Cricetulus griseus: one gene and its partners. The protein of the gene in region 1 purifies or fractionates together with the protein of each later gene. This does not show direct contact. Links are inferred from orthologs where the notes say so. Each region holds a gene or a part of one and is shown on either strand. Other genes may lie near its edges.

What was found.
Region 2: the proteins of Slc9a6 (region 1) and Clgn purify together in Homo sapiens (co-immunoprecipitation; 3 studies listed by BioGRID and IntAct, with this or other methods). This does not show direct contact. The link is inferred for Cricetulus griseus from reciprocal best matches to the Homo sapiens genes SLC9A6 and CLGN.
Region 3: the proteins of Slc9a6 (region 1) and Mblac2 purify together in Homo sapiens (co-immunoprecipitation; 3 studies listed by BioGRID and IntAct, counting the BioPlex papers as one, with this or other methods). This does not show direct contact. The link is inferred for Cricetulus griseus from reciprocal best matches to the Homo sapiens genes SLC9A6 and MBLAC2.

The regions. Positions count from the first base shown.
Region 1 is NC_048604.1:15,841,458-15,845,728, reverse strand, and holds the start of Slc9a6 (sodium/hydrogen exchanger 6), read left to right. Parts: upstream 1-1,423; coding exon 1,424-1,751; intron 1,752-4,271. UniProt on the Homo sapiens protein: Endosomal Na(+), K(+)/H(+) antiporter. Mediates the electroneutral exchange of endosomal luminal H(+) for a cytosolic Na(+) or K(+).
Region 2 is NC_048596.1:159,058,918-159,062,271, forward strand, and holds part of Clgn (calmegin), read left to right. Parts: intron 1-903; coding exon 904-1,119; intron 1,120-2,143; coding exon 2,144-2,269; intron 2,270-2,567; coding exon 2,568-2,733; intron 2,734-3,354. UniProt on the Homo sapiens protein: Functions during spermatogenesis as a chaperone for a range of client proteins that are important for sperm adhesion onto the egg zona pellucida and for subsequent penetration of the zona pellucida.
Region 3 is NC_048595.1:302,160,862-302,165,082, forward strand, and holds the start of Mblac2 (metallo-beta-lactamase domain-containing protein 2), read left to right. Parts: upstream 1-1,372; 5' UTR 1,373-1,500; coding exon 1,501-1,954; intron 1,955-4,221. UniProt on the Homo sapiens protein: Acyl-CoA thioesterases are a group of enzymes that catalyze the hydrolysis of acyl-CoAs to the free fatty acid and coenzyme A (CoASH), providing the potential to regulate intracellular levels of acyl-CoAs, free fatty acids and CoASH.

The DNA of each region.
Region 1 (4,271 bases):
GGTTTCTTGGGAAGACCTACAGCCAATGGGCACTTGGTGGGAAAATTCCCAGCCTGTCAGACAGAACCACCATTCTAGAGCTGTTTTAGTTTTTCTGAAGTTTCACTATCTTGACAGAGCTTAAAGAGTTTGTTAGTGAAAAGGCATTCACACTGGGGCCTCTTGTTGCTGTTGTTGGGCTATATGGTCAGCCCTGAGGTGAAAAGCTTTCAGATGGTATGTTTTATACAAAATGGCAAGGCTGGGTTGACAGTGGTCCTAATGATGTCGTGAGGGCTTTGCGGGAGGATATATATTCACAGGGGAAAGAATATGCTCCTTTACAGGATATGCCCAATATACTCAACAGGTAGAGGCCTGAAGGGCTGGTGATGGGCCGAGGCTTGAGATTTGTAGCTGCTTCACACAGAAGTGAAAGGATAGAGAAAAAGAAGCCCAAACAACTGGGTGATGCTGCAAGTATGGAGACTTTTTGGAGAGGTTCCCAAACACAGCTAAACTATGGAGATGAAGCCTTGTGAGGTCCCGAGGAACACTCAGAAATTACTCAGGAGTGAAGTTGGGGTGAAGATGACAGGTAGGGAGTCAAAGGTGAAAGAACTGGTGACATTTGACTGAAAGTAGCAATCAAAAAGAACAAGAGAGGGAAACAGCCTGCAGCTCCAGAAGACTTCTCCCCAAAGTCAGGGAAGTGCTTCTGAGTGAAGAGAAATGTGAGCACAAACGTGCTTGACTATTCTTTCCAAGGTTGAAGCTATGTGCTCGTTCCTGTTGCAGTAGATATACATCAAGCTTTGACTGCTAAAGAAAAGCCAATTAATTATACAGATACACTCATGTTCCATGCCTTTGTGTGAATTCTTTTATAAACTCTTACACTGTTATTGTCCCCCCCGCAATAATGGCAGAATACGGGGATTCCGATTTAAATTACAGAGCTGGAGATTGAGGCCACTCCCAAGGGACAACTTCTTATCCTGTTAAGACACACTGGGGGACAATATCCAGACGGGTTATGAAGATCAATTCCTCTCCCTTTCCCCGCGGTCAGGATCAAAGTAAAGGGAGCGCCTTCTGCATGTGATTACGTGTTCCTTCAGTGGGAACGAGTGGGTTAGATTCGATGTCTCGGACAGAGCTCAAGCTCTAGGTGCGTCCCTAGGTGGGCAGATGGGCAAAAGGAATGCGGCTGCGAGGGCGGGAGCCGCAGCGGGCCCTTTAAAAGTGGAGGCCGCGCGGGGCGGTGCCTGCACCGCCGGCTCGGCTGCAGCCCCGCCCCTTTCCCGTGAGCCCTCGGGGAGTGGTCCGACCGCGGGCGGGCGGGCGAGCGGGCGAGCGGCGGCGGCGGCTGCGGGGAGGAGAGAAGGAAAGGAGAGGGGCGGGGGTGGGGGGTGGGGGGTGGGTGGGTGGGGTGGGGGGAGACATGGCTGGGGCTCGGCGCGGCTGGCGGCAGGCGCCTGTTCTCCGTGGCGTCGGCCGGCCCCGGGCGCGTCCGCTTCAGCGGCCCCTCTTGTTGCTCTTCGCAGTGAGTGTCTTTGGCTGGGCCGGGGCTTCGGACGGCTCCGGGGGAACGACGAGAGCCATGGACGAGGAGATAGTGTCCGAGAAGCAGGCTGAGGAGAGCCACCGGCAGGACAGCGCCAACCTGCTCATCTTCATCCTGCTGCTCACCCTCACCATTCTGACGATCTGGCTCTTCAAGCACCGCCGGGCCCGCTTCCTGCACGAAACCGGCCTTGCTATGATTTATGGCAAGTGTCTGGGACCCCTGTCCCCTCGCTGGCACTACCCCTTTCCCTTTCCCTTTCTCTGCCTGCCGGCCGCTTCTCCTGCCCTAGTCCTGCTCGGCCTACATTATGCTCTCTGTCTCGTTCCATTTTCCGCCTCCCCTTAAACCGTCCTCCGTTTCTCTGCCTCACCCCCTTTATTTCTGCTACGCCCCCCATTTTTTCCTACCTCGTTCTCAGCTTCGCCTCCCCATTTTCTCTGGCTCTCTGAGCTGCTTTTGCCTCCGACCCCACCCCCTTTTTCTCCAGCACCCCTCTGCCCCTTCTCTGCCTACTAAGCTGGGGACCAGTACGGGTGGGTGTTGAGGATGGGAAAGGGAGTCGGGTGCGGTGGCTGGGATGGGGCTTGGGCCAGGGGGAGGGGAAGACATCCTTGCAATCTATGTGTCTGGGGTGTCAGTTTGTTTAAGGTTCGTTGAAGCTGCAGTAGTAGCTGTGTACTGGCAGCATCTGGCATTCATTTGGAACCGGAGTCGACCTTTCCTCATTACCCAGCTTTTGCTATGTCTCCTTTCCAGATGCAAATGATAACCTTACTCCGGTGGAACCCACGCAAAATAAAAACGTGAAGTAGGCTACAGAAAGCTCAGGACATTTTAAATGTCGTCCTAATTTATTTTATTATACCCGTAGTACCTAGGGTTGACCCTTAAGACTCAAGTGTATGAAAGTAAGGACGAGTCAGAGTTAAGGTTCTTCCAGCAGCATACTGTATGATGGGAACAGTTCAGCCGAATAGTAATTAAGAATCTTCACGGTTATGCCTAGGGGTGATTTGCTGTTGGCATGAAGTTCTTGACCAATTGCTTTGTAAATGATTATGGTTCTTGACTCTGTGTGCTTTCTTTTGAGGTTCTTTTGAGGTTATTTATCTGTGCGTGAGAGGTGCAGATGACACACACACACACACACACACACACACACACAGAGAGAGAGAGAGAGAGAGAGAGAGAGAGAGAGAGAGAGAGAGAGAGAGAGAGAGATCAAACCATGGGTTTACAAGGATTTTGAGCCATGCTCTAGTCTTGTGAGGGGGAAAAGAAGATATTGCTGATGGTCTCCTATCTGCTTAGGAGGGTATGGCTGAAGAGATGAGGGGTGACAAACAATCCTGTCTGTAGTACGTGTGTGAAGATTATCTTCATTTGGTACAGTCTTGAATTGTTAAGGTTTGTTTCTAAGAGTTGAAGATAAGTATATGAAGGTTTGGCACTAAAAGGCATTTTCCCGTGCAGCCCCCACCCCTTCCAGTTAATCCAGACTTCTAGAATGTGCATGCATCTCAAGGTAGTTGTGTGCCTTAAGAAAATGCATGGGCTCAGGCTTGTTTTTCATTTGTAAGGTAATGAATTCTAAGCATGAGGAGTAACCCTGTTTACTCGGATGTCAAAATAGATTTCTTTTCTTTTTTCTTTCTTTTTTGGTTTTTTGAGACAGGGCTTTTCTGTGTTAACTCAGGTCAACTCAGGCTGGCCTCAAACTCACAGAGATCCCCCTGCCTCTGCCTCCCGAGTGTTGGGATTAAAGGCGTGTACTACCGCCGCTGCCACCACCACCACCTGGCCAAAAATTGTATTTCATTTGTAGTAGTGCCTCTTAAGGCTAATTGGTCATGCATTTATCTAATTTCTCTGTGTGACAATGTGTGTGACTTGTTTACCATCTTCAACAAACATTTACTAACTAGTTTATTATTACATAATATGTACAGAATCTATAGACATGTAAAAACCTTTAAGGAGTGGAAAGACAAATCGTAAAAAGCATGAAATGACATATGAACTCTGGTTAAATGCAAAATGAGCCATACACTGTTAAAGAACTCATCACAGATAATCTCTTTCCTATTAAGAGATATGGTTTTACATAGTTGATGGTACAGGGCTTTAGACCAGGGATTGGCATTTTTAAAAGGGCTAGATAATAAAGATTGTTGATTTTAAGGGTCATATGTATTACATTTTAATCTCTCTATTTTTTCTCTTTGCAAACTTAAAAAAATGTAAAAAACAAACAAACAAAAAAGCCTAACAAGAACAACAAAAACTAGGGCCCAGAGAAAAGGATCAATGGGTAAGAGCACTGGCTGCTCTTGCAGTCTAGTCTGGTTCCCAGCTTCCACATTGCAGCTCACAGTCATCTGTAATTCCGGTTCCAGGGGATCTGATGCCCATTTCTGGACTGTGGTCAGTGCACACACAGGCTGCACCAACATCCATGTAAGCAAAGCACACATACACATAAAGTAGAAATAAATATATTTTAAAATTTAAATCTTTAGTTTTTAAAAAATAAATAAAAAACCCTATTCTCAACTCTTGGGCCATGCAAAAACAGAGTGAATTCTGAAGCTGCAAACCCCTTGAGATTCAGCCCCAGATTTGTGTTTCACTGTGCCAATAACTGTGTGATCTTAGCAAGCCCCACTCCTCCTTTACTCTTATCTATGCATTGGGAATATATGATGAGGAGAAAGTGTTTTTA
Region 2 (3,354 bases), on another chromosome or scaffold:
GGTGGTGGCACACGTCTAATCCCAGCACTTGAGAGGCAGAAAAAGGTGGACCTCTGTGAGTTCTACGCCAGCCTTATCTGTCACATAGTGAGTTTCAGGACATCCAAACAGCCAGGCTATGTAGAGAAACCCTGTTGTCATTTAAGATATTCTTCTTCCCAATAGTCAGTTGATGATTACTTTGGAACAAAGTTCTATTTCAAAAGTAAATGAATGAGTTCTCATGGAGAGAACTTGTATTGTCCATTTCAATAATTAGTGTCTGTGTTTCATGAACTCCTTATTTATTTAACATTGTCAAAATTCTGAATTTTTAGGCTGTCAGACATTTGGGGGTGATCTGGCTTTGCTTTCATTAGTCATTTTAACCCTCTAGTGTGCCTTTGATGTCTCTTGCACTATTCAAATGTGATTATACTAATTCTTCACTGTAGTCTTTCTTCAAAGCGTTTATTACAAAGTGTGTGTGTGTGCGCGCGCGCGCGCGCGTGTGCACACACACACACACACACACACACACACACACACACACACACACACACACACATGCATGAGCTCATGTGAGAGAGAGAGATTGTCCTTCTTCATCTTATTGTTTTGGGGACAGTGCCTATCATTGAACCTGAAGTTTTCTGATTGAAGTAGACTGGCTGCCAGCAAATCCCAGGGTAGCTGTGTCCCCATCTCCTCGGGTCTGGTATGGAGGTCTGTTTTACAGTACCAGCTTTCTAAGTGGTGCCGGAGACTGAACTCAGGCCCTCAGACCTCCCACAGGGGCAAGCACTTTACCCACTGATCCGTCTCCCCAACTCCCTGTCCCTTAGAAACGGTTCTTATGTTCCTTTTTAATTGTTTAATGGCATCACTTTGCCTAAAATCTTGTTCATTTGTTGTTCCTTGCAGGGAATCTGGAGCCCTCAGAAAATCCCTAACCCAGATTATTTTGAGGATGACCACCCATTCCTTCTGACTTCTTTCAGTGCTCTGGGCTTAGAGCTTTGGTCCATGACTCCCAACATCTACTTCGATAATTTTATCATCTGTTCAGAAAAGGAGGTAGCAGATCGCTGGGCTGCAGATGGCTGGGGACTGAAGATAATCGTGGCAAATGCTAATGAGGTATGATAGTGACTATGGGTGGGAGTCATGGGACCCCAGTCCTGGCTGTGGGGTGTGCATAGATGCAATAATTCCTAAATGCCAGGGAGATGGACTAGAGTGAATTTTACAGACAGACTATTCAGCTTTTCTGAAGACTATATAGTGAACTCAGCATGAAGATGCTATGATCTCATTTCATTCATTAAATTATGGTAGCTTTAATGAGTTCCAAAGCCTACTTGTGATTTATAGCAATAAGAAATATTTCTTTGTGTTTTCATGTTGGCAGTGCAAGCCTAAGTTTTAACAATAATCCATATGCATTTCAAATATTTTCATTTAGAGAAATACCAAGAACTCTAAATTCAACATTATTGTTTGTCTCAACTGCAGTGCTGTGCACTCCGGGTTAGCTGGCCTGTGAGCCTCCAGAAACTATCCCCACTTCTCACTGCACTATGGGGCTCTGGGATTATAGATGCAGGCCACATGCAGGCCACTGCACCCAGCACTTTATGTGGGTGCCAGCACTGGACCTGCCAAGCCATTCACCCACCCCATTTACACACTTGATTGTTACACGTAAAGTATGTTGTGGCTCAGATTTTATGTTACTAAAATAAAATTCATGCACAAGGGCCACTTATGAAGTTGTTTATATAGAAAGAAAAAGGAAAAAACAATAGCCCCTGAGTGACTTTATTAGGAAGTTCTTTAAATAACAGAACATATTATCAACATATTATCAAAGGAGTCTTTTTTTCTTTCATTTTTGGTGTGTGTGTGTGTGTGTATTGTGTATGGGGTATGTGTGAGTATAATGTGTATAGGGGGTGTGTAGTGTATATGGAGTGTGGAGTGGGTATGTGTGGTGTGTGTAGTGTGTGTAGTGCGTGTGTGTGGTATGTATTGGGTGTGTGTATGTGTGGAGTGTGTATTGTGTGTGTGTGTGTGTGTGTGTGCGCGTGCATGGTATAAAAGGTATATAATCTGTATTTCCCAGTGGGAGTTGGTAAGTGTTCTGTGCTGATTTCTCTCGCAGCCCGGTGTACTCAAACAGCTAACGACAGCGGCAGAGGAGCGACCATGGCTCTGGCTCATGTACCTTGTGATGGCTGGGTTGCCCATAGCGTTACTTACTTCATTTTGTTGGCCAAGAAAAGTAAAGGTAAAGAAAATACACTTTTTTCAACTTTGTTTTTCAGACTTGCTTGTTTTCCAGACTCAAACTGTGTAATGAATTCAGTGTAAATGCAGTGAATTCAGTTTCCTGTAAGATTTTCTGAGAGATTGTTATATACCTTCTCAGTGCAAAAAAAAAAAAAAAAATGGCAGATAAATGTTACGATGAAGAGGACGAGTGTTGTCCATTTCAATACTTAGTGTCTGTGCACTAAAAAAAATAAAATAAAATAAAAATAGTGCTTTGCTTTTTATTAAAAACAGCTTTTGTTAAACTTCCACAGAAAAAATATGAAGACCTAGGTCCTAAGACAACTGACATAAGTAAACCACAGACCAAGGCGTCTCTGGAACAAGGGGTAGAGGAGGAGAAAGCCCCTGAGAAGCCAGAAGTTTTGGAAGAGGAGAAAAAGCCAAGTGACAGTGATGATGTAGTCATCGCTGAAAAGGGTGAGGCTGTGCTGGTGACTTGTGGTAGTGCTGCCATCCTTCCAGCACTGACTGAGAATGGCCAGCCCTGCCTTGTTCAGTGTCTGGTGTGCACATGTGAACTGCCAAGAACACTGGACTTTGGCAGTGTGGATTATCAGTTTTCTGAGAGGGACAGCCCTGTGAACAGCCAGCCTGTCTACACTGCTGTCCCTAGGCCATAGCCGAGAGTGGAGATGGCCTGCTGTTTACACACAGTTGCTGTGTGGCCAGACATACCCTCATTCCACTGTGACCCCTGCAGCATCACAGGGTTCCCCCAATCTAGGGTGGTGGATGAGTGCATTCCTGGGGTTCCTTACAGGCGCATGTGTGTGCGTGTGTATGTAATGGAGCACATGTAGGAGTCAGAGGACAACTTACATGACTAAGTTCTTTAAAAAGAACATGTGTGTATGTGGTATGTGGGGGGGAGGTGGTGTGAGTGTGTCATGTGTCTAAATTATTTAAGTTGTAAGTTCTCAGAGTATTTGTGACTTACTAGTGCTTTATATTGAAGTTCCTGTCTACTTTAGAGGATATTCACAAATAACTAATTTATAAATATCAAAGGGGTCTTATTTTAGAAGGCAGTTTTCCATT
Region 3 (4,221 bases), on another chromosome or scaffold:
TGCATAATTGAATAACTTGTACTTAGATGAGATTAGCAAAATACTCACAGGGGCAGTAACCTGCTCGAACTCCCACCAGAGACTTTAGGAATAGAGGAAGAATACACCTCTCCCTCCAGGAAAGTCTATTAGGAGATGCTGCAGTAAGCATTTTCCTAATTATCCTTTATAATGCTATCCCGTGGGTCTCTAATTTTTGACGGTTAGTCAACTTCTCAAGGGCATTTCTGAATCCTAAATAGATACAGCAATAGCTAGGGCTTGGGGTGAGAGCACAGGGATTTGATGTTAACAGTGGGGGTGATTTTAGTGGCTGGGTAGGCCACACCCAGTCATTATCCACTTTTCCTGTCCCCCTCAAAGTGCCCCGCCTTTCTTTAGTTAAGCTCTGGAAACTTTCTCAACGAGCAGAGAACCGAACAAAACATGACGGAAATTTAGAATTGTTTAAAGAAAAATCCTATTAGCAACTCCTCTCCCCACAATCCAGGGTGCCAAGAGTAAAGAAATCAGAAGCGGAATGGTATGCCCATAGCAGCAATCTGTCGCCAAACCAGTGCGTGAACGAACTGTAGGATCTCCGGATTGGCTAAGTCTTCTGTAGTATCAGCAAGAGCATAAACTCCCTTCTATCTCACTAAGAACACTCCCAGGAGGGGGCTGGAAGATCTAACTACCAAGACGTCAAAGGATTTGGAAGGCAGCATTAGGCTTTGAAGAGGTAAGGCTACCTCCCAAGTCACTCCAAAGGTCTGATGAATTTTGGCTCCCGATGCGGGTCCACCACGTTCTCCACGTGCCCCATCAACTCCCTTCTACCCTCTTCAACTCCAACCCAATTCGGAACAGCTTCCTGTTACCTGCTCACAACGTCTCGAGGCTTGTGCACTTTGTTCAGCCGAGGTGGCCGGGGTCCCTGCAGCCGCACCAGCCAGGAGCCGCGGATTCCACCTCCCCAGCAGCGATCACTGTCCTGCACGCGGCCACCGCGCTCAGCTAGCCCACTAGGAGCCCCGCCCACTGCCGGCGAGGCCACGCCCCCGGCACCGAGCTTTTTAGCCCTTGGCAGGCGCCGTAGTCTGCTTCCAACTGGCTCGGCCTCACTCTGGGCTCCAGCGGTGAGTGAGCTGCGCCTGCTGCCCGTGCGGGGGCGGTCCTGGCGCTTCCCACGCATCATCCCTAGCCTCTGCAGCAGAACCCCCGAGCAGGGCAGTGTCGCCCCATATCTCCGCCCTGCTGCAGCGGCCTGCGTTACTGCCACGGTGCTGCGGCTGCAGAAGCTGCGGCAGCCTGGGGTGCAGCCTTTGCGCTGTGCGGACCGGGAGCAGGAGATCTGGGCAGCGTCACCGCGGCCTATCCGCGCTCCCTTCCGCATCCCCGCCCCTCTTTCGCGCCTCCTCCGGGGCTGAGTGGAGTACGCCGCACACTGCGGCAGCTCTGGGTCCGGACTGCCCCTGGGAGGCACACCCACCTCTCCCGGCCGCACCCCTGCGCAGCAGCATGTCCGCGCTTGAGTGGTACGCCCACAAGTCTCTGGGCGATGGCATCTTCTGGATTCAAGAGCGCTTCTACGAGTCAGGCAACCGCGCCAACATCTGGCTGGTGCGCGGCTCCGAGCAAGACGTGGTGATCGACACGGGCCTGGGGCTGCGCAGCCTCCCGGAGTACCTCTACTCCTCCGGCCTCTTGCAGGACTGCGGGGCTAAGGAGGATGCCGGGCGCCGGCCACTGCTGGCTGTGGCCACTCACGTGCACTTCGATCACTCCGGCGGGCTCTACCAGTTCGACCAGGTGGCTGTGCACCGCGCTGAGGCCGAGGCCCTGGCTCGAGGGGACAACTTTGAGACCGTGACCTGGCTCTCTGACAGCGAGGTGGTGCGAGCCCCCAGCCCTGGCTGGAGGGCCAGGCAGTTCCGAGTGCAGGCAGTGCAGCCGACCCTCATTCTGCAGGATGGTAATGGGCCCCCGCGGGCGTGCGCTGTCGTGGAGGGAGGGGTTTGGGGAGCGTGTGCAGCATGTTGCAGACCTCCATGGCCACCTTGGCATTGTTGGGGTACAGTGTGTCTCACCCTTTGCTGCGTGAAAGCCGGTTTGAGCAGAGCCAAGGCCCTGGCAGCCTTCTCTGCCCAGAGAAGCGCTCTGCAACTGTGTGGCTGTCTCTAAAAAGCTGGCACCACCCCCAATCAATTCCTTGTGTCGGCTACAGTAGTAACACTGCAGAGACTTGTGACTGGGGTTTTCCTTTCTTCCCCTAGCATGAGTCGAACATTTCCAGCTTTTGTAACGAGTAGGCTTTTAAGGAATGGCACCTTGAGAAAAGTGTTATGCTCTGTGCTTTGAGAACTGCTGCTTCATCTGCGTGCTCACCGCGGAGTGACTATGAGTCCCACCTGTAGGGTTAGAAAACTGGAGAGCTGTGGCTCCAGCCATTTCATCCACCCTCACCTTCAGATGGGTTTGTTCCTTATTATTGCTCCACAAGAAGAAAGGACGGCTTGATAGTGAACACAAACGTAGAAAAGTAGAATTATGACAAATATCTGGTCTGCATGAGAGCAAGGCCTAGAAAAGATCAATAAGGGAGTTGTTTGCGGTGGATCACGTATGTGTGCTACCGCAGACTTCATTCTCTTTGGTCCTATGAAATTGGCAGATACAGCAAAATAGAGTAGGACCCCAGGCCCCTTCTCTCCATGCAGTAATTGGACTAATTAGTGACAATGGCAATACTTGGTATATTATTTCATATTTTCTTTTGTAGGGTTTATTTTTAAATTTTATCCACATAATGTTGTGAAGTGAAGCCAGAGACCCTTGATTAAATGTCTTGCCTAGTGGCCACTGAGCAGTCATGGTCAAAGCTGGGACTTGAAGCAAAGCATAGTAGAGGAAAGCAAACAGATACTAATAAATCCTTCTTATACATTGCGATAATTGTTAGTAGATTATGGAAGTCAATTTTTCAATGTTAATCATTTTAATTGCCTATACACTCCTGTAATGTTTTTTTTAAAAAAATCGGTTGCATTATAATGATGCTTATTAAGAAATAAACAATATATAAATAAAATATTTTACAGAAATACAATTTTCAACAGGATATAATACATGATATTAAAAACAATGAAATTCTAGTCCCTTACACCCAACTGACAGGTCCCTTCATTAAAGCTTTAAGTCTAAAGATTTCTTTTTTTATTTTTTATTTTATTCTTTTATTAGTTCAAATAAGGAACAAGCTTGCTTCACATATCAATCCCTTCTCCCTCTCACTCCCCTCCCCCCAACATCCCACCTGCCCCTACCCATGCCCCCCCACTCGCCAGGCAGGGTAAGGCTCTCAAAAGGGGCTCCCCAAAGTCTACCACATCACTAAAGCGAAGACTGTAGGGATTGTTATGTGGAAGAGAGGCTGACTGAATATCCTGCCTGTGATCGTCTAGACCAGTTAGACACTGGGATTATACCATGGTAGTTCCCAGTTGGTGGTAAATCCTGATGCTTTAGGAGCTGGAGAAGTACTGTACACTACAGGTGTGTGGTGCTTTGAGCCTCGCTTTGAGGGCAACAGATGGCATTGTAGAAAGTCACTCCTCATTAAGACATAGATGCCTCACCCTCTCCAGCAGCATCTGGTCTCTCATCTCAGGAATATTAATTTCCTGTCTTCTGAAGGATGTGGGATGCTAGCTGGGTATTAACACAATCCAGATGTCTCGAAGGAGATGTAAGATACTCATATTAAAAATTCATATGTATTTGCACATGCACACTCATATGCAGCTGTAACAGAACAGCTCTGGTTAGAATACAAGTGGGCAAAGTCACTTACTACATTTCATTAAGTGAATTGATGATTTGCTGTCATGAAGAAGCATAAATCTTCACTGTATCTCTAACCTAAAAGCTACCATCTAAGTGAAGGTCAAAGAGGATAGCTATCTCATCTAGTGCATTAGCCTTGACAGAAAACAATGCCGTGTACTAATAGTGAAACAGTATCTTTCTATGAGAGCATTAGACCTGAGATTATACTACAGCCCAGGCCTTTTAGTTTTTTTAAATTTTTATTTTAGTTTTTTTTGTTTTTTCAAGACAGGGTTTCTCTGTGACTTTGGAGGTTGTCCTGGAACTAGCTCTTGTAGACCAGGATGGTCTCGAACTCACAGAGATCCACCTGCCTCTGCCTCTGCCTCCTGAGTGCTGGGATTAAAGGCATGT